Drosophila melanogaster: one gene and its partners. The protein of the gene in region 4 interacts with the protein of the main gene of each other region in a pairwise test. Each region holds a gene or a part of one and is shown on either strand. Other genes may lie near its edges.

Evidence for each region.
Region 1: the proteins of gce (region 4) and CG43896 interact in a two-hybrid assay, tested with the Drosophila melanogaster proteins (one large-scale study listed by BioGRID).
Region 2: the proteins of gce (region 4) and CG15422 interact in a two-hybrid assay, tested with the Drosophila melanogaster proteins (one large-scale study listed by BioGRID).
Region 3: the proteins of gce (region 4) and Mst98Ca interact in a two-hybrid assay, tested with the Drosophila melanogaster proteins (one large-scale study listed by BioGRID).

Annotation. Positions count from the first base shown.
Region 1 is NT_037436.4:11,974,543-11,979,125, reverse strand, and holds the start of CG43896 (uncharacterized protein), read right to left. Parts: upstream 3,016-4,583; 5' UTR 2,963-3,015; coding exon 2,956-2,962; intron 2,897-2,955; coding exon 2,631-2,896; intron 2,553-2,630; coding exon 726-2,552; intron 624-725; coding exon 459-623; intron 392-458; coding exon 212-391; intron 142-211; coding exon 1-141. Other genes in the region: CG14125 (uncharacterized protein), read right to left, coding at 3,367-4,151, 4,198-4,204.
Region 2 is NT_033779.5:4,003,029-4,006,216, reverse strand, and holds CG15422 (uncharacterized protein), read right to left. Parts: upstream 1,234-3,188; 5' UTR 1,162-1,233; coding exon 847-1,161; 3' UTR 547-846; downstream 1-546. Other genes in the region: CG15423 (uncharacterized protein), read right to left, coding at 1-104; CG34176 (uncharacterized protein), read right to left, coding at 1,835-2,086.
Region 3 is NT_033777.3:28,289,442-28,293,210, forward strand, and holds Mst98Ca (Male-specific RNA 98Ca), read left to right. Parts: upstream 1-1,896; 5' UTR 1,897-2,017; coding exon 2,018-3,022; 3' UTR 3,023-3,215; downstream 3,216-3,769. Other genes in the region: Mst98Cb (Male-specific RNA 98Cb), read left to right, coding at 3,474-3,769.
Region 4 is NC_004354.4:15,295,765-15,300,770, reverse strand, and holds the start of gce (germ cell-expressed bHLH-PAS), read right to left. Parts: upstream 3,006-5,006; 5' UTR 2,835-3,005; intron 2,735-2,834; exon of another isoform or gene 2,554-2,734; intron 1,763-2,553; exon of another isoform or gene 1,188-1,762; intron 263-1,187; exon of another isoform or gene 149-262; intron 1-148. Other genes in the region: CG5877 (uncharacterized protein), read right to left, coding at 4,218-5,006.

The DNA of each region.
Region 1 (4,583 bases), on a different chromosome or scaffold from region 4:
CAAATCGTATTGGGAGTTTTCCGGACAGCTAATGTACTTGGGAACATCGTCCACGCAGAGACAGAAGCCGTCGGTACCTTCAATAGTTGGAAAAGTAGAGAAGTCCGTCTTTCCTGAGCATCCATTGGCGCAACAGCGGGGCTGTAAAAGAATTTTGAATAAATCATCAACTCATGTTCAATGTACTTCAGGACGGATTTAAATGCCTTACATCTGGCAGTGGAATAAGAACACACTCGAGCTCCTCGGTATTGAAAGTGTAGCCAATTGGACAGGAAACAGTGATGGGTTCGCCAGCGCGGCACAAGCAGAAACTGTTCGGGTCTTCGTAGTCCGGAGAGACGAAGTACTCTGACTGGTCATTGCAGACCTGAGGATCGCAGTTTCCGGACTGTAATAGCGAAATAAAAGGATAGTTATTGGAAACGCGTTACGTATTTTTCCTGGCGACTACTTACGAATGTGCAGACTTGATCCGTTGCGTCGTAGAACAATCCGGTTGGACACGATTGAATATAAGCACCACTATCCCGGCACAGGCAGAAGGTCGACGAATCGTTGTCGTTAGATGGATACGTCGAGTCCACAGCGGCACTGTTACAAATGGTCTGGTCGCAATCGGGCTAAATTTGATGAAAACAACGAGGTATTTTGGATAAACTTAATATAGAAAGAGTAAAACTTATCGATCTTTTTTCACTTCTTAATTAATTTGTTTAACTTACGCTGGGTTGGTCCAGGCATATACCCAGGGCGGCGGAGTAACCAGTGTTAACCGGGCAGGGTTGAATGGTGGCCTCGTTGCTGAGGCAGACGTAGAACTGGCCAGTTTCTCCAGCGACAGGGTAGGTGGTGCCATCACTGGCGGTTGCGCAGTTTTTGGCGGAGCACTCTACGGTAGTGGAGCACTGACCAGTTGCTGAATCAAAGGCCTCTCCAACGACGCATTGCTTCACTTGGGGCACTCCGTCCGTGCACTGGAAGTAATTGGTACAGATGGGATGGGCCACGTTGCCATTGCCGCAGGAGCATGGGTTGATGCACTTGGCATTCACATCGATGACGCAATTACCATCGCCGTTGTACCACTCGCCGGAGCCGCATGTGTGCTTTGTGGCCAGGCCATTCCAGCAGGTCAAATAGCTGGTGCAGTCGGTCGGATCGGCCATCTGGTAGCCATTCGGCTTGTTGGAGCACACCCAGCAGGTGGCCTTGGTGTCTGGAACACAGATGCCGCTGGACTTCTGAAAGACATTGCCCACCCCGCACACACCCTCTACCAACTGACCATTCTCGCAGATCAGGTACTTATCGCAGTCTGTCGAGTGACCTATAATGGTTCCCTGCGCGATGCCTCCCTCGCAGGTGCAGTCCTCCACACTTCGCTTTTGGCGCGATCCGCTCGATCTGTTTTCCGGGCAGACATTTTCGGTGTCCTCGCGGCAAATGCCAACGGAGGCGTCGAAGTAGGTGTTATTGGGGCAAGTGCCATCCTCCCACTGGCCACTGATGCAGTGCTGGTATGTCCAGCAGTTCTTTCCACTTGCTGGAGGATCCTTGGCATTGCACTTGTCAACGGAACTAGTTTCAACGGTTGAGGTAGTGGGAATCTGTGTTGAGTTGCTCTTGGCATCAATGCACACATTATTCACATCCACTTGGCAGCAGTTTAGAGTTTCATTAAAATAACTGCCACTATCACAGGAAACGGAAGTCCAGTCGCCACTTTGACACTTGAAGTACTTGGTGCAGTCCTGGGGATCCACTTTTGCTTCGCCATCTGTACAATCCGCCACACAGCAAGTGTTGTCAGCATCAACTTCACAAACACTGAGGTTAGCATTGAACACGTTACCCTTGCCGCAATCCGCGGCCACCAGGACACCATCAATGCAGATGAAGTACTTGCGACAGTTTTCTTCATCGGGAATGAAGTCTGCGTTCTTAATATCACCGCAATCGCAGGATGCCGGAGGTTCCGTTGTCTCCTCAGCACAAGATTCAGTGGTAGTGGTTGTGGAATCATCGCATGGTGACTCTGTGGTGCAAGTGCCGGGAACACAACCCCAGTTATTACTCTCAAAATAGCTTCCTTCGGGACATTCTTGAGCAGTAGCCGTATTGTTGGAGCACACATAGAACAAGGAGCAGTTGGACTTGTCGGCCACAGCGGACCCATCATCCTGTCCAATGCAGTAGTTAACCCAGCATTGTGAGTTTCCTTGATCGACAGTACAGGCGGCAACTGAGGTGTTGAAAAAGCTGCCTTGGGGACAAGTCTGAAGAGTGGCTTCTCCATTGGAGCACACGTAGTAGCTACCGCAGTTCGCCTCATTTTCGACAAAGACACCATTGGTCTTATTGATGCACAGGTTCTGCCAGCACGTGGAGTTTGCATCCGGTATGCAGGCGGCCAGGGTTTCATTGAAGAAGCTTCCTAAATCGCACTTCTGTGGATAGGCAATCTGCTCGTCGCAGATGTAGAACTCGCCACAAGAACCACTATTGGCTATGTACGCTCCGTTCACCTCGGTGGAGCACACATTGGTGGCCTACAGAAGTTCGGATAGAAGTTAAGGGTTGGGATAAATGGGTCTTTATCTAACTCTAAAAGCGAATCTAGAACCTACCTCAGCGAGTGGAGCTAAAAGACTCAGCTTGCAGAGACTTCGTCCTGCCATTGTGCACTTGCCATTCTTGGGGTTGTACTCCTTGCCGGGTGCACACGTCACCGTGCGAACGGCGTTCTTGGCGGTGCAACGGTAGTAGGAGGAACAGTTCAGGGGTTTCGGCCAGTGCATCGGAAGGTTCCTAGTCCTCCGGTATATGCATTCAGGATCGGCGGCTCCAACTAGGGCAACCACTGCAGTGAGTGCCACCACAGTGAGCAGAGTAGCTGGATACGAGAAAAGTAACTAGAGTCCATGTTACTATTTGGGTACTTCACACTCTCACCTTTCATCTTGTTCACTTCTATTATTCCACTTGTGATGATCGAGATGTACTCCACATAATTGCCAAAAAGTTAGTGCCTTTTATATACCACATTATTTTCGACTGACTCTAATTGTCCCTTATCTCTATCAATTATGCCGATCATGTTAGACATGGCCCTTTCATGTCAGTCTAATTGAGGTGTGAACTTTGGGAATTGTAATTCCTGGAAGTCATCACCTATTTCAGTGTAGACACTCCCCAAAGTTTGGTGTTTGGAATTCGCAAAGTTATGAATGAATGTCACGAGCAAGGTCTTGTTCCACCTCAAGATCACTCAAAAGTTAAAAGAAAAGCCAGATAGGTAAAATAACGTTTTTTGAGAGCATGCTATTTATTTGTACTTTATGTACATTACTTTACTTTATTTGCTTAGGCACAGGTCTTGTCGCAAGTCTGGTTTACCGAGTTCCAGTACAGATCACTTGGACAATCCTTGATGAATCCAATATCTCCATCGCAATGTATGTATAAATGACAATCGTACGGATGTGGCAGAAATTGCACACCTTGATGAGCTCTACAGGAGGCGTTCGCATCCACGTTGGGAATTGTCTGGGTGGTCGCACTTGTCGGATCTGATGGATCGCCCGAGGATTCTTCTGGCTCATGCGTGGGAATTGATGGTTCTCCAGTGGGCTCTTCAGTGGAATCCGAAGTACCTTCATTGGTGGTTTCCCCCGCCGGTATTTTAGTCTCTTCAGTTGTTTCTTGAGTCGGTTGACCTGTGGGACTGTCAGTGGGTTGATCTGATGGATTAGACGTTTCTCCAGTGGGCTGTCCTGTGGGATCCGATGGATTTTCAGTGGATTCTTCGGTTGGCTCCGATGGTTCGTCGTTGGTGGGACTTCCCGTGGGATTCAATGGATTTTCAGTTGGCTCCGATGGATTTTCAGTAGATGTAATGTTCGAGGGCGGTTCAGTTGGTACTACTGTGGGCTTAGCAGTGGGCTTCCATGGTTCATCGGTCGAATCGGATGGGTCCTCCGATGAGTCATCTGTGGGATCCCAGGGATCATCAGTGGGGTCGTCAGGATCCTCAGGGGGCTTTGGTGAAGCAGTTGGCTTGACACATTGCCTGGCACTAAGAGCAGTTGCCAAAAGCATTAGCTGCAAGGACATCAACATCCAGACCACTGAAACCCAGAAGCGTTTGTCTTTAATATTAAAAAAATAATATTCATTTTCTTTTCAGGTACTTACACTTCATTGCAGCGACGATCGGTGATCTACAAACCAAAACCAATGAATAACTTGCAGTGGGCGGTGCATTTATAGCATTTCGAGCTGCATTTCATTCAGCCTTTAATTAGCATACAACAAGTCACTAAAGTGTACTCATTATCACTATCTTGTCCAAACATGATAAGACTGCAATAACTTGATTGATAATGAAATATTTATTAGAGAAACGGAAACAATTATAATTGGTTAATCAGAAACAAGATCGTTAAATCTACAAAATCGAATTGTAATGTTTTTAAATTTATTTATGGATGCTCCATTTTTTATTGTTACAATATACATATATGGTAATGCGTAACCCTTGAACTTCCGGTTATCTAGAACAAGTAATTGACTTTTCAATT
Region 2 (3,188 bases), on a different chromosome or scaffold from region 4:
ACTGGTCGAGGAATCCTTGGCGGCACAATGTCCACCTCTACAATTGGCCTTCCACCGTGATGGTGATGATGGTGATGACGACGTTCCTCCTCGTAGTACGGCATTTTCTTCAGAAACTATCCAAGTATTGTATCCTTAGTGGGTGAAGTGAATGCCTTTGACTGCTTTCTCGAACTGAACTTGCTTCTTCGCCTGCTTAACTATTTAAGTCAATTTTTATCGCTAATGAGGGGGAATTTTTTTTCCTAATTTTGTTATGTGCGTTTTGCACAGTAGCTTAGTTGGTTATCTTGTCAGGTGGAATAAATGTGTTTTTTTCGATAAAAAAAAAATAAAATTGATAAGTGCCATTTGATAAATACGAAATTCCGAATTGAATTTCATGAGGAGAGTTCAAGGTTTCCATGAATCACAATTTTATATTTAAGAGGAAGGACTTAATTCCATGCTTCTGATTGATGACTCACACTAAATTACATAAACATAAATAAAATCGATAATGCAGTATTTAGAATATTTTTAGAATTAAAGACGGGTAGGTTTTTTGAAGAGCAAGATATTTTATTTATTTCGTTTTAAGGTTATATAGCACAATTATATTTTCTTTGAAACGGTTAAAGTTAAATTCCAGTTTTGTTTTTTTGTACCTTCCTCTGGTTATTAACTTGTTAACTTTGTGGTGCGTAATGTCAAGACCATTGCACCATTTGCGTTGTCATTTCAACTTAAGATTAGGACAAAGTGATATTTGTTTTGATTTCTTGTTATCTATCCCTTCCTTCACTCCATCGATAGTATATTTTTTTTTTGTTAGTGGTGATGGCTTCGTTTCCATTCCGACCTCGTTCACCACTGCGGATACGGTGGATTGTTGTAGGGCTGCTGATACTGGTACTGATACTCGTACGCCTGCTGCTGCTGCTGCGGATAGTATCCATTGGTGGTGGCCACCGTGACGCCGCCGTAGGGTTGCGGCATTATCACCTGTGTGCCGGGCACATAGGTAGCCGCCGGGGTCATGTAGACTACCTCGGCGGGCCGAGGCGGAGGCGGCGGCGGATAGTAGCCGCCACCCCAACCGGGAACCACATCAATTTCGATATTTGGACGACCATGGTGATGGCGAGGAGGATAGCCACATGGATCTTCATAGTACCGCATAGTTGATTAACTAGCCAAATAATCAACCAGCCAACCGAACCAACTTCACCACCCAGCAACGCGTTGAATACTGGAAAGTCCGTGGCACAACACGTCTAGCTCGAAACAAACTGGAACTGCGAAGCTCCATCAATCAGGGTTTGTGGGAATTATTCCAGTGGTTAGAGGCAAAGATAAGATGGCTTAGTCATTCGACAAGGTCTGATAACAGCGACCGGACAGTTGTGCATTTACAGGTGATCGGGTTTCGCTATTTTACTCGCATTTTGTTTACTATATTAACTGATTCCGGCTTATCTATGGGTAACGCGTTATTATTTCTGATATAGGAGCATAGAAGCATTGACAGAGCATTGGTGAAAATGAATTAAAGTTTTGCTAGACATTAACAAAACAACAAGTGATTGCCGTCTAAATTAACCAGGTGTTCCGATAAAGACTTAAAAAAAAAAAACACGGATTAGAGATTTTGATAATAAAAAGAGGGAGTGTGTGTGATGGAATCAACTCGATTGAAACTCAACCATTACTCATGACAAATATGCAAAAAAACTAAAAACTATAAACTAAAACTTAGTTTATAAGGTTATACTTTATTGAGGACATATAGTTGTTAAGTAAGGCTACGTGGTATAAATTCATTGTGAAGGATTTTACAGATCAAAGTTCCTTCTCAATACTGTGGATTGTGGTAGTGGCTGCTGCCGGGCGGTGGTGGTGGTGGTGGATTTTGGTAGTACGGTGGCGGAGGCGCCTGTTGCACCACCATGACTGGTGGCGGTGGCGGAGCCTGCTGCTGCACCACCACAACTTGGGGTGGTGGGCGGTGATGGCGGCGTGGCCATGGTGGTGCAATCTGTACCTTAATCACGGGTCCACGACGATGAGGCGGTCCGCCGCAATGATCGTGGGGTGGTGGTGGCATAGTGGTGCACTAATCTTCTGTAGAAAGTCCGTCCAAATGTGTCGACTTATCGCTGGTAACTGAATTAAGCGAATGCCCAACTCATGGGACTGACTAACCAAACAAACGCCAAAATATTTGCCGTCATAAAAAAGCTCAATATCAGCATTTGCTGATAGCGAATAGGTAGGTAGGTACTCTTAATTATTTCTATTGACGAAAGTATTGCTTCTAGAGCAAAGTTATCGATAAATAAACTGAAAATTGGCAAATGGTAAAGCTTTTTTCGAATAAGCTTTTCAATTCAAATTTGAGCCTGCATATCAATAGATTTTCCTCGTTTCTTTAATGAGTCATGTTTGGTTTTTTCCGGGGATTTCTCCTTAACTTACATATAGTCATGTAAATACTTGTTTAAAGTTTTAAAAAGAAATAAAGTATTTCGTTGTCACGAAGAAAGGAAATGAACCAACGTGCAAATATTTGTATTTGGTTAAATGCGATTAAATTCCTTAACTCTAGTGAAAACAAACTTTAGCTTGAGAAAATGTTGTCAAGCCACAAATATTTATCCAATTTTCAGCCCCGAAAAATTCCCAATAATTCTTTACACATTTTCCTTAGCCGGCAAATATTTGGCAAACATTTGCACGTCTATTATGCAAAGTTTGCAGACACGATTTTGCCTCGAGGGGCGACGTGGGTAAATATTAAATGTATGGATAGAAAAACATGGTAATTTCTGACGGTCAATCAAGAAAAGTCTCTCGGGACTCTCTGAATCTCAATCACTTGATCAAATAAAATTCGGAATATTCGATTTGACAACCAGGAGAGCGGCAGCCTTTTTGGCTGTACTTAATTGAGTGGTTCGTGCTGCATTTCGCATTTCATTCGCTCTTTGAATTGTCACTTCGATCAAGGAACTGGGGTTAAGGGTTACGGCTTAAGGGTTAAGGGTGCTTGCCCTAAAAAGTTAAACATGCACAAAGTGGCAAACGAGTTTCGGGCAAAGTTTTCAACTGACGCAAAAGAAGGAAGGAAATGAGTGCCGCATAACGCGCAACATATCGACTGAGCTTTTGTGGGCGCGCTGCGTTGGTGGGGCGTGGCAGGCCGCATG
Region 3 (3,769 bases), on a different chromosome or scaffold from region 4:
TGTGCGCAGCCCATAAATAAATATATAAATTTAAATAAAGGCCGCCGCAATACCCGCACACTCACAGTTTGTTTGTCAATAAATCAGAATACTTATCAACGTCAAAGTACCGCAAAGAATGTGAGCAAACAATAAGAACTAAATGTGTGTGTGTTTCAGGAGGTCCATCAGTTTATTGGGAACTATTAAAGTTATTTATGAAAATAAATGGAATACCTACAACTTAAAAATAAAACCTTTCATTGAGCTACAAACATTTCTACACAGTGCCTAAATTATTCGACAAATGCGCCTCTATCTTGACTCCAGCAGGCATTGTGGGTGCCAATTTATGGGCAATCTGTGCTTATTTTCCCATTTCCCAGCCCAACATTGTTTTGGGCCTAGTCCCGAACTAAGTCCGCTAATTGCGCCGCCTTAGCCGGGCCATCTCGACCGGGTTTCGGGGAAGGCCCCGTCCATAATTATGCGAAATGTGCGCCATTTCTTCGGACTGTTGCCTGTTATTGTTTGCATTATTAGCTGACAATTTCGGTGGCACTGTGATGCCAAGTGGTGGGTCTGTGATTAGGCCGGCTCTTTGGGCTCTGGAAATTGTGGGATTAGCAGGCGCTTTGTCTGTGGCTAGAATCTTGGTCGGGCACCATCAGCCTGTCGCTCGATAAGCGCTCCAGGGCAACTCGAGTCCAAGAAGTTGATGTTTTTCTTGCATGATTACGACCATAAGCCAACGGCGTGTTATTGCAGGCCAAAGAAGTGGACGGTTTTCTTGGGAAACGCCCGAGTTCAAATCGATTGAACCAATGTTGCTCTTTAAATTGGTTTAATTTAGACATTTATTGTATCTCAACTTCCTGGAAGCAACTTGATTAAATTTCCTAATTTAAATAACCGGAACTATTGGACAGCAACTAATTCTGAAGAGCAAAGGCCATCTAAAATATCGCTTGATTTCTTAGCTATCACTAATGTGACTATCAATTCGAGGAAATGAAATTTTGTAGAATTAATAAAAGTCGTGTGTTATTAAGAAAATATTAAAACGTATTATATTTATTGTTTGAATACCAGAACGTTTCTTATTCCGAGCACATATTGTAGCGTTTGCCCCTCGCTTTTGGCATTTAAAATGGAGCAAATATTTTAGAATTCACCTGAATCGCATGCAAAAGCCTTTGTCAACATCAATGGTCCGCTGTGACCACGCTCTTTGTTGTAGTTTTTTGTGAATGCGCAATTGTTCAGTGTCGTCATGGCTGTGGCATGCACAAAGCGCCGATTGCAACGCCCATCCATCCACCCAGCAACCCCCCCCCCCCCCCACCTACTAAAGCTTTCAGGATATGCCATCCAACTACCAACTACCATACCGACCAAAACGCTTTTTTTTCGGCGCTGACATGTCCAGGCACTGGGGCAAAAACAAACCCATATATGTATATTCAATAGGCCGGGCGCTGCCAGAGTGTTTTCCGACGTTTTTCTGTAATTCGTTGTAGGTTTTTTCCAAGTTGGCTTTCGGCCGGTCCGAAAAAAGCGGCCTGCCTACATAAAGGCGCTAGCATATTAAAGGCTTAAACCCACTCAACGGCAGATGCCATATTGTTGAAATATATGCAGATACGTCGCGCATACGTCATGTGAAGATGGAATCCGGTTTGCAAAATGCATTCCATTCAAGCAGCGTTCTGTGATTTTTCATTGCAATCGGTTAAGCAATCGAATCCACCAGATTTATGTATTGTAAGCATATATTTCCATTCAAAGCTCAAAGCGATTTTCACCTTACCTGCACAACAAAAACACTACACTAGGGTGTGATCGTAGAGCTCGGTTTTTCAAATTTCGATCGAAGTGGGCCTGGATTATTGTGCAATGCTGTCGTCCTACTGTTATATCTCATTCAGTTTCCTGTTTCGCTCCGAATAACTTCCAAATTGAACAGTAAAAATTTGTAACAAAAATAAAGTATAATATTTTTCTAGAAATTTTATTTTGGAAAACTTAAGTCGAAAACATGTGCTCTCCGTGCGGTCCTTGTAGTCCATGCGATCCCTGCTGCGGTCCCTTCGAGTGCTCACCCAAGTGCTATAATGCCGCCCAATTGGAGGCCTTGCCACAATGTGCTCCACGTATTCCACCTCCCTTCCCCAAATGCATCACCGTGCAGCAACCACCACGCATGATCTGCAAGAAACGCGTGGTGTTCACGGAGAAGATTGTGCCGGAGCCAATGGTGGTTAACCGATGCAGACAGATTACCATTCCAAAGGTCGTTGATGCCACGCGGGTGATCAAGGTGCCCAAGCTGATTTGGGTGTCGCAGATGGTGCGAGAACCCAGAGTAATCTACTACCCCTCGATGATCCCCGATCCCTATGTGGTGTGCTATCCCAAGCGCGTCTGCGAACCCCGGGAGGTGTGTCAGTCGATCCTGTGCCAGCCGAAGCCACAGACCATCGACATTCCGCCGCCAAGGGAGTACTGCTGCTATCCAAATGGACCCATCAACTACAAGCCCAGTGCAGCGTGCCCACCCTGCCCCATTGGACCATGTGCTCCTGGAGGACCCTGCTGTCCGCTGCCCTGCTTCTCCACAAACCAGTATCCCGTTGCCGAGGGTAGGTGCGGACCCTGTGGACCTTGCGGTCCAGGATGCGGACCCTGCGGTCCGCGATGTGGTCCCTGCGGACCCGGCCCGTGCGGACCCTGTGGGCCGAGATGCGGTCCGGGTGGACCGTGCGCCGTGCCCAATTGCGGGCCCTGCGGCCTCACAATGCCGTCGGGTCCGTTTGTCCCGGCTCCGTGTGGACCCTGTGCTCCATGCGGGCCATGTGGACCGCTCGGCAATAGTCCTTGCGGTCCTTGCGGACCCTGCGGACCCTGTTCGCCCCCGTGTCCGTACGAGTCACCCGAGTGCGGCCCCTGCTACCCGTGCGCCCCAACTCCCTGGAATACCCACTGCGGCCCAGTTGGTCCTTGCGGTCCTCAAGTGCCTTGTGGACCCAGCGGCCCCTGTTAACATCATCGTTGTGCTGCCTGGATTGTTGTCAGAAACCGGTGCCCAGTGGACCAACTTGTCTATCACCAATACAGATTGCCATAGTGTATTCTCGCCGTTCTGCTCAAACACCACCAAAAAAGTCTACAGTTCTCTATACTTTGTCAACGCATGGACGACTCATTGGCTGTAAATAAAAATCGGATTTATGCATATATAAGGTTTTTTCAATTTCTTTTGACAGGTTATGCAATGGTTTCTATCCAGATAAAATTTTCTACCAAATTTTTGTCAAATAGTAGGCCTTGCCTCTGCTTGTCAATCTACCTATGTTCGTTACTCAGGCTTAGCTCGCATTTTGAATCCGGTTTCGCTTCGATACACTTCTAAATTTCTCTGATCAAATTTTATAAGAAACAAAAAACAAAAATTAACTTTTTACTCTTTCGGTTTATTCTAGTCGAAACTTAAAATGTGCTCTCCGTGCGGTCCTTGTAGTCCATGCGATCCCTGCTGCGGTCCCTTCGAGTGCTCACCCAAGTGCTACAATGCCGCCCAATTGGAGGCCTTGCCACAATGTGCTCCACGTATTCCACCACCCTTCCCCAAATGCATCACCGTGCAGCAACCACCACGCATGATCTGCAAGAAACGCGTTGTGTTCACGGAGAAGATTGTGCCGGAGCCAATGGTGGTTAACCGATGCAGGCAGATCACCATTCCAAAGGTCGTTGATGCCACGCGGGTGATCAAGGTGCCCAAGCTGAT
Region 4 (5,006 bases):
AAACAAAAATTGGAAAGAAAAAACCAAACCGAATAGCAAAAAAAAAAAAAACAGAAAAAAAACACTTTTATTGATCGGAACTCGGAACTGGTAAATCATTGAAAAATTGTTGCCAACAAATACCTGATGCTGGGCTATTTATATTTACTTTTATTGCTATTATCATCCAAAGCTCAGTTCCATCGCACTCTTTCCATGCTGCCCACAAGTTCAAGGGAGGCTAAGAACCCATCATAAAGTGCTCCGCCATATAACATCTATATTCATTGGAATCCGTTGATCTTCGCACACCCATTAAAGCGCAGATCTGGAATTTTGGCCATAATCACACTTCCCGCTTTCGTGCTTTTTGGGTATGCCGAAGTCGAGAGACTCGAGTTCTTCACGCTTGTTTTGTTTTTCTGTTTTTTCTTTTCTTATTAAAAAATTAAATAAGTCGAAAAAAGAAACTGGAAATTCATTAATATGTTAATTTTATTTGTCTTGCCTCATTGATTGTGTCGATGCGAATGTGATAGTTTTTTTTTTGTATGCATTTGTATGTGTTTGTGGATGGGCAAACACGTTAATGTTGGCTAAGCAGATTTTCGAAGGATGACAAACACAGACAGTGGGAATGTTTTTCGTAAATCGAAACTTTTCCCAACTCAACAAAAAACTGAATCGTTCTCGGGTTTCGATCGCGCAAAAATGCGCGCACGCGCCGCTGATTTCAGCACATATGCTCGTACTCGTAGGCTACACCATATAAAACCAATTCTCTGCACAAGAAAACATCGAAATCAGTGAACAAAAACGGAAATGAAACAGGATCACAAGAGTACCAAAAGTACTCTGATCAACAGCATCTAATGCCGCGCACTCAACAATACACCAACAACGGTTCACCAACAGCTGCTAAGCTCGAACGTTTCAACAATATTAATTTTGCGCTTGGTGGTTGGTCGGTTGTTGAAACTATATCTACACTCCAATGCACCAACGTAGAGCACAAAAAAATACTTGTTCAAGCTTGTTCAACAACACACCAACAGCGGTATTTAAGCCCCATTGGGCTTATGAATATACATACTAGTCGTATAATAGGATAATTGGAGTTTTTCATACACCAACGTTTGGTTGTTGAAACTGTCCAACTGGAAGATAGCCCTATAATTACTATATGATTTAAGGTCACCGCCATCTACCTTTTTGATAATATTTCCCCTCGAGCGCGTTTTTGGTTTGTTGTTTCAAACTTTTTTTTTTACACTATAGCACAAGCACTGGCACAAAACACACACACGCAAACAAAAAAAAAGGCGGGGGGGTTGTCAAAACGAAGTTTGTTTGTTGCCTGTTTTATTTCGGTTTTAATTCCTCGTTTTGTTTTTTATTTTATTTTTTTTTTCAACTTTTATATGGGGCTCTGGGGGGCACTGTTTGATAATCCAATTCCATTCGTTAACGCGGCGCCATTTACGTTGCTCGAGCGTGTTCTTTGCATTTTAGCAGCGGCGGCGACCACGAAAAAGGCAAGTTGAAAGAGAAGGAAACTCGCACAATCGCTCACACACGTACGCAGAGCCAAAGAAACATTCAGATACAAATGCGAAATACGAATATACTCATAAAAAAAAAATAAAAAATAATAATAAATACGAAACAGCGACGGCTGGCGAACCGAATTCGAACTCCAAGCTCCAAGCGAACCGAACGAACACCAAGCGGACCAAGCGAACGTCGCGACGCGTCCGTCCGTACCGCTACAGAAACAAAAATTAATTACATATATTGAAATCACAAACTAAACTAATCAGCCAGACGACGAGCGGAGCAGCGACGGCGGCAGCGGCAACGGCAGCGGAGAGCCGAGCCGAGCGCGAATCAGCTGCCCGGAAAGCTAACGCTCCACTCACGCTCCACTCCGCTCCCGCTCCCGCTCTAGGTGCCGCTGCCCCAAAGAAGCAGAAATGGCAGGGAAAAGAGCGTGAAAGATGAAATATACAATAAAAGCTTCGCTCGTCACCGACAGCGGTGCGACAGAGATGGCGATTGGCCAAACGCCCACCAGCAGCGAGTGTGAGCGAGAGCGCAGCAACAACCTGCGTTGGAAAGCTGGCGAGACCTTGACTAAGGTTTCCGGCCGGGAAACCCTCGGCGAGTTCATGCTCACCCAGTACACCGGGAAAAAAGAAAACGTTGCTAAAACTAGAGTTTTGCACAAAAAATCACTTGAATCTCCTCTGTTTATAACAATCTCCAAGGAAGCATTATATAATAATAATAATAAGCTATCAATTATTTTGATTACACTTATCTGTAATAAATTTAGTAATATTTGAGTTATAGATTTGGAAATCTGAGATAAAGATGCTTAAAAAATATGCAAACTGTCACGAATCGCATGCTCGCAAACTGGTTTTCCCCACATTTTCTAGCAGTGCACATTGACTCTCTGCGCTCTCTGTCTCTATCGTTTTCTCATTTTCTGAGTTTCCTCTCTGAAAAGCTTTTCCCCTTTGCTAGAGTAGAGCCGCAAAAGAAGGTTGGTGTTTAGTCTACGAACTTGACGCTGGCGTCTTACACAATGCTGCTTCTTCTTGCTTCTGCTCTACACCAACACAGAGACATCGCAGCACACACACCCAAACAGGAAGAGAAACACACACACACACACGACTTAGAACGGGGGAGCACTCTCAAAAAAATTACACTCGCTATCGAAACGAAATGGAACAAAAAACACTCGGCCGTTATAGCGATATATACATATATATATATATATGTATGTATATATTATTATATATGGATTGGCCTGATACTGGCCAGATATTCCGAGCTCTAGCACTAACCTAGGAACTGGAAACGGTCTGGAGTGCCTGGGAAACCTTGAGAGGAGACTCCGCCGCCATGAGACTAGGGACTACGGAGACGCCACTTGGCCAAACGGGCCGCTTCCACTGCAGCAACGGCCGATGCGGAGCGACAACGCGTCGTGGGACTTGGACAGATGCCGACCGACTGCCATCGATGAAGCCCGGTCCAAAGATGTCGGATGGGTGGACGAGCAGGCGAACAGACGGACGTGCGAATGGACAGCAGCCAGGACTCTCGCGCTCAGACAGCTTTCGATGCGTTTCGGCGAGCGGAGCTTTTCATCCCCACTACCCCTCTGCCCAATCACAGCGTTTCCTCTCCCGATTTCCACGCTTTTCCAAAGAGCAACAGTAACGCACAGGAGTCTTAAGTGGCTGGGCAGACAGGGCGCATACGCAACATTCGAGACGAGTCAACACTCAGCCACAGCCGTCTCGCTCGCGCTCACGCAACTTGGCCACCACACTTGCGGTCACACAAACAGATCGCATACAAAATATCAATCATTTTATCGTCAATATCATTCATGTCATTTAATACAAATCCTTTAATGTGTACATATTAAATCTAAATTTATCAATATTTAACAAGTTAGCTGTTAAAACTACTCATAGCTAAATAGGAATATAAATATTTTTATTTGTAATTTACAAATGTAGAAAACTTCTTAATTTCTTTTGCATATTTAAATGATTTAATAAATTTAAATAAACAGAACCATAAACTATTTGCAATATATTTTAAATTTCAGTAATATAAAAATAAGCTATTTGCAATATATGTTTCATTTCAGCGATATGAAAATGACATAACAAATATGTTGTATTTAGTTCGTCTCACAGCTTCCAGGTGCTACAATTGCGACCTCAGGTGCGCAGTGATTCTTTCGGCGCTGTTTTGGCTTATGAGTTTTGTTCGGTTATCTTGCGATAAACACAATCAAAATAATAAACACAAGAAAATGCTGGATTCGGGGGGAGCGGATTGGCCAGAAGATGAAGTTGGACTAATCTCCGACATTCGATATGCGACTCTGGTTTCCTTGCACAGCAACGAGCGATAAAGTGTTGGAATTTTTTTTTAACATAATCGAACGGCGAGTATTTTTGAGTAGCAAAATCGCTAATTCTGAATTTGTTAGTGAGCCAATTCTGATAAGCGATTTAGGATATATGTAGTAAAATATGCATGTACGCATATAACTGCAAACAGCTTATCGCAATTTCGCCAGTTAACTTAAAGTTGAAGCAAACTTCAGAACTAGATTGTTTGAAGAAATAAATATATTTATGATGCGAACTTATCGAGTCGCCCGAATGGCAAATAACCTCAAAACAAACGAATAAAACCAAAGCGACTTAAAAGCCCCTCAAGACGTCCACTTCCTCGGGCATAGCGAAAATGCGAATCTCTTTTTCGGTCATCAGGTCCTGTAGCGATGCTAGTTTCACTGGCAAAACCTTGGCGCCTTCCATCAGTAGTGACTTGTCCCAGGGACACTCGTCCATGGCCATTATAAGGACTTCTTTGCTGCGCCTAAACGAGGCATTCGTTTTGGATAGGGCAATCATGTACAAGCGCCAATAGATGGAGTTCCTGCGCAGTATGCGATAATGCTCTTCCTCCACATCCAAACGATCTAAATTGGTCGGGAGAAAAGTCTCGACAATGCTGACCAAACGATTGCACACCATCTTCCTTGTGGCTTCCTTTGAAAACTTATCGTTGGTATCTACGATTCCAAAGCGATTGTGAATCGCAACGACCAAGTGCGCCAGTGAAGCGATGCCGGCTTTGGTGCGTATGAGCCGGCTACGCTGCTTGTGCCACATAATCGATTTTAAGCTGGCCCACAGCTGTAGAAACACCATATTTCGTGGAAACTCTTCGAGTCCATTCTCGAGCAGTTCATGTAGCTTGATCTTTTTGAATCCAGTATAGAATTCAACTTCGCCAAATACTAAAAAGGACAAACGCAGATGTAGCATCTGTATTTCCATGATCTGCTCCCTAAGGAAACGCTTTCTTTCGCTGTCCTTGACGGCCTCGGGACCAAATTCGTTATTCTGCAGGTCATTGAGCCACATTCTAGCCTCCTTATGACGACGATTATTCAGCACTTCGATCAAACAGATAGCGCGCAAGAG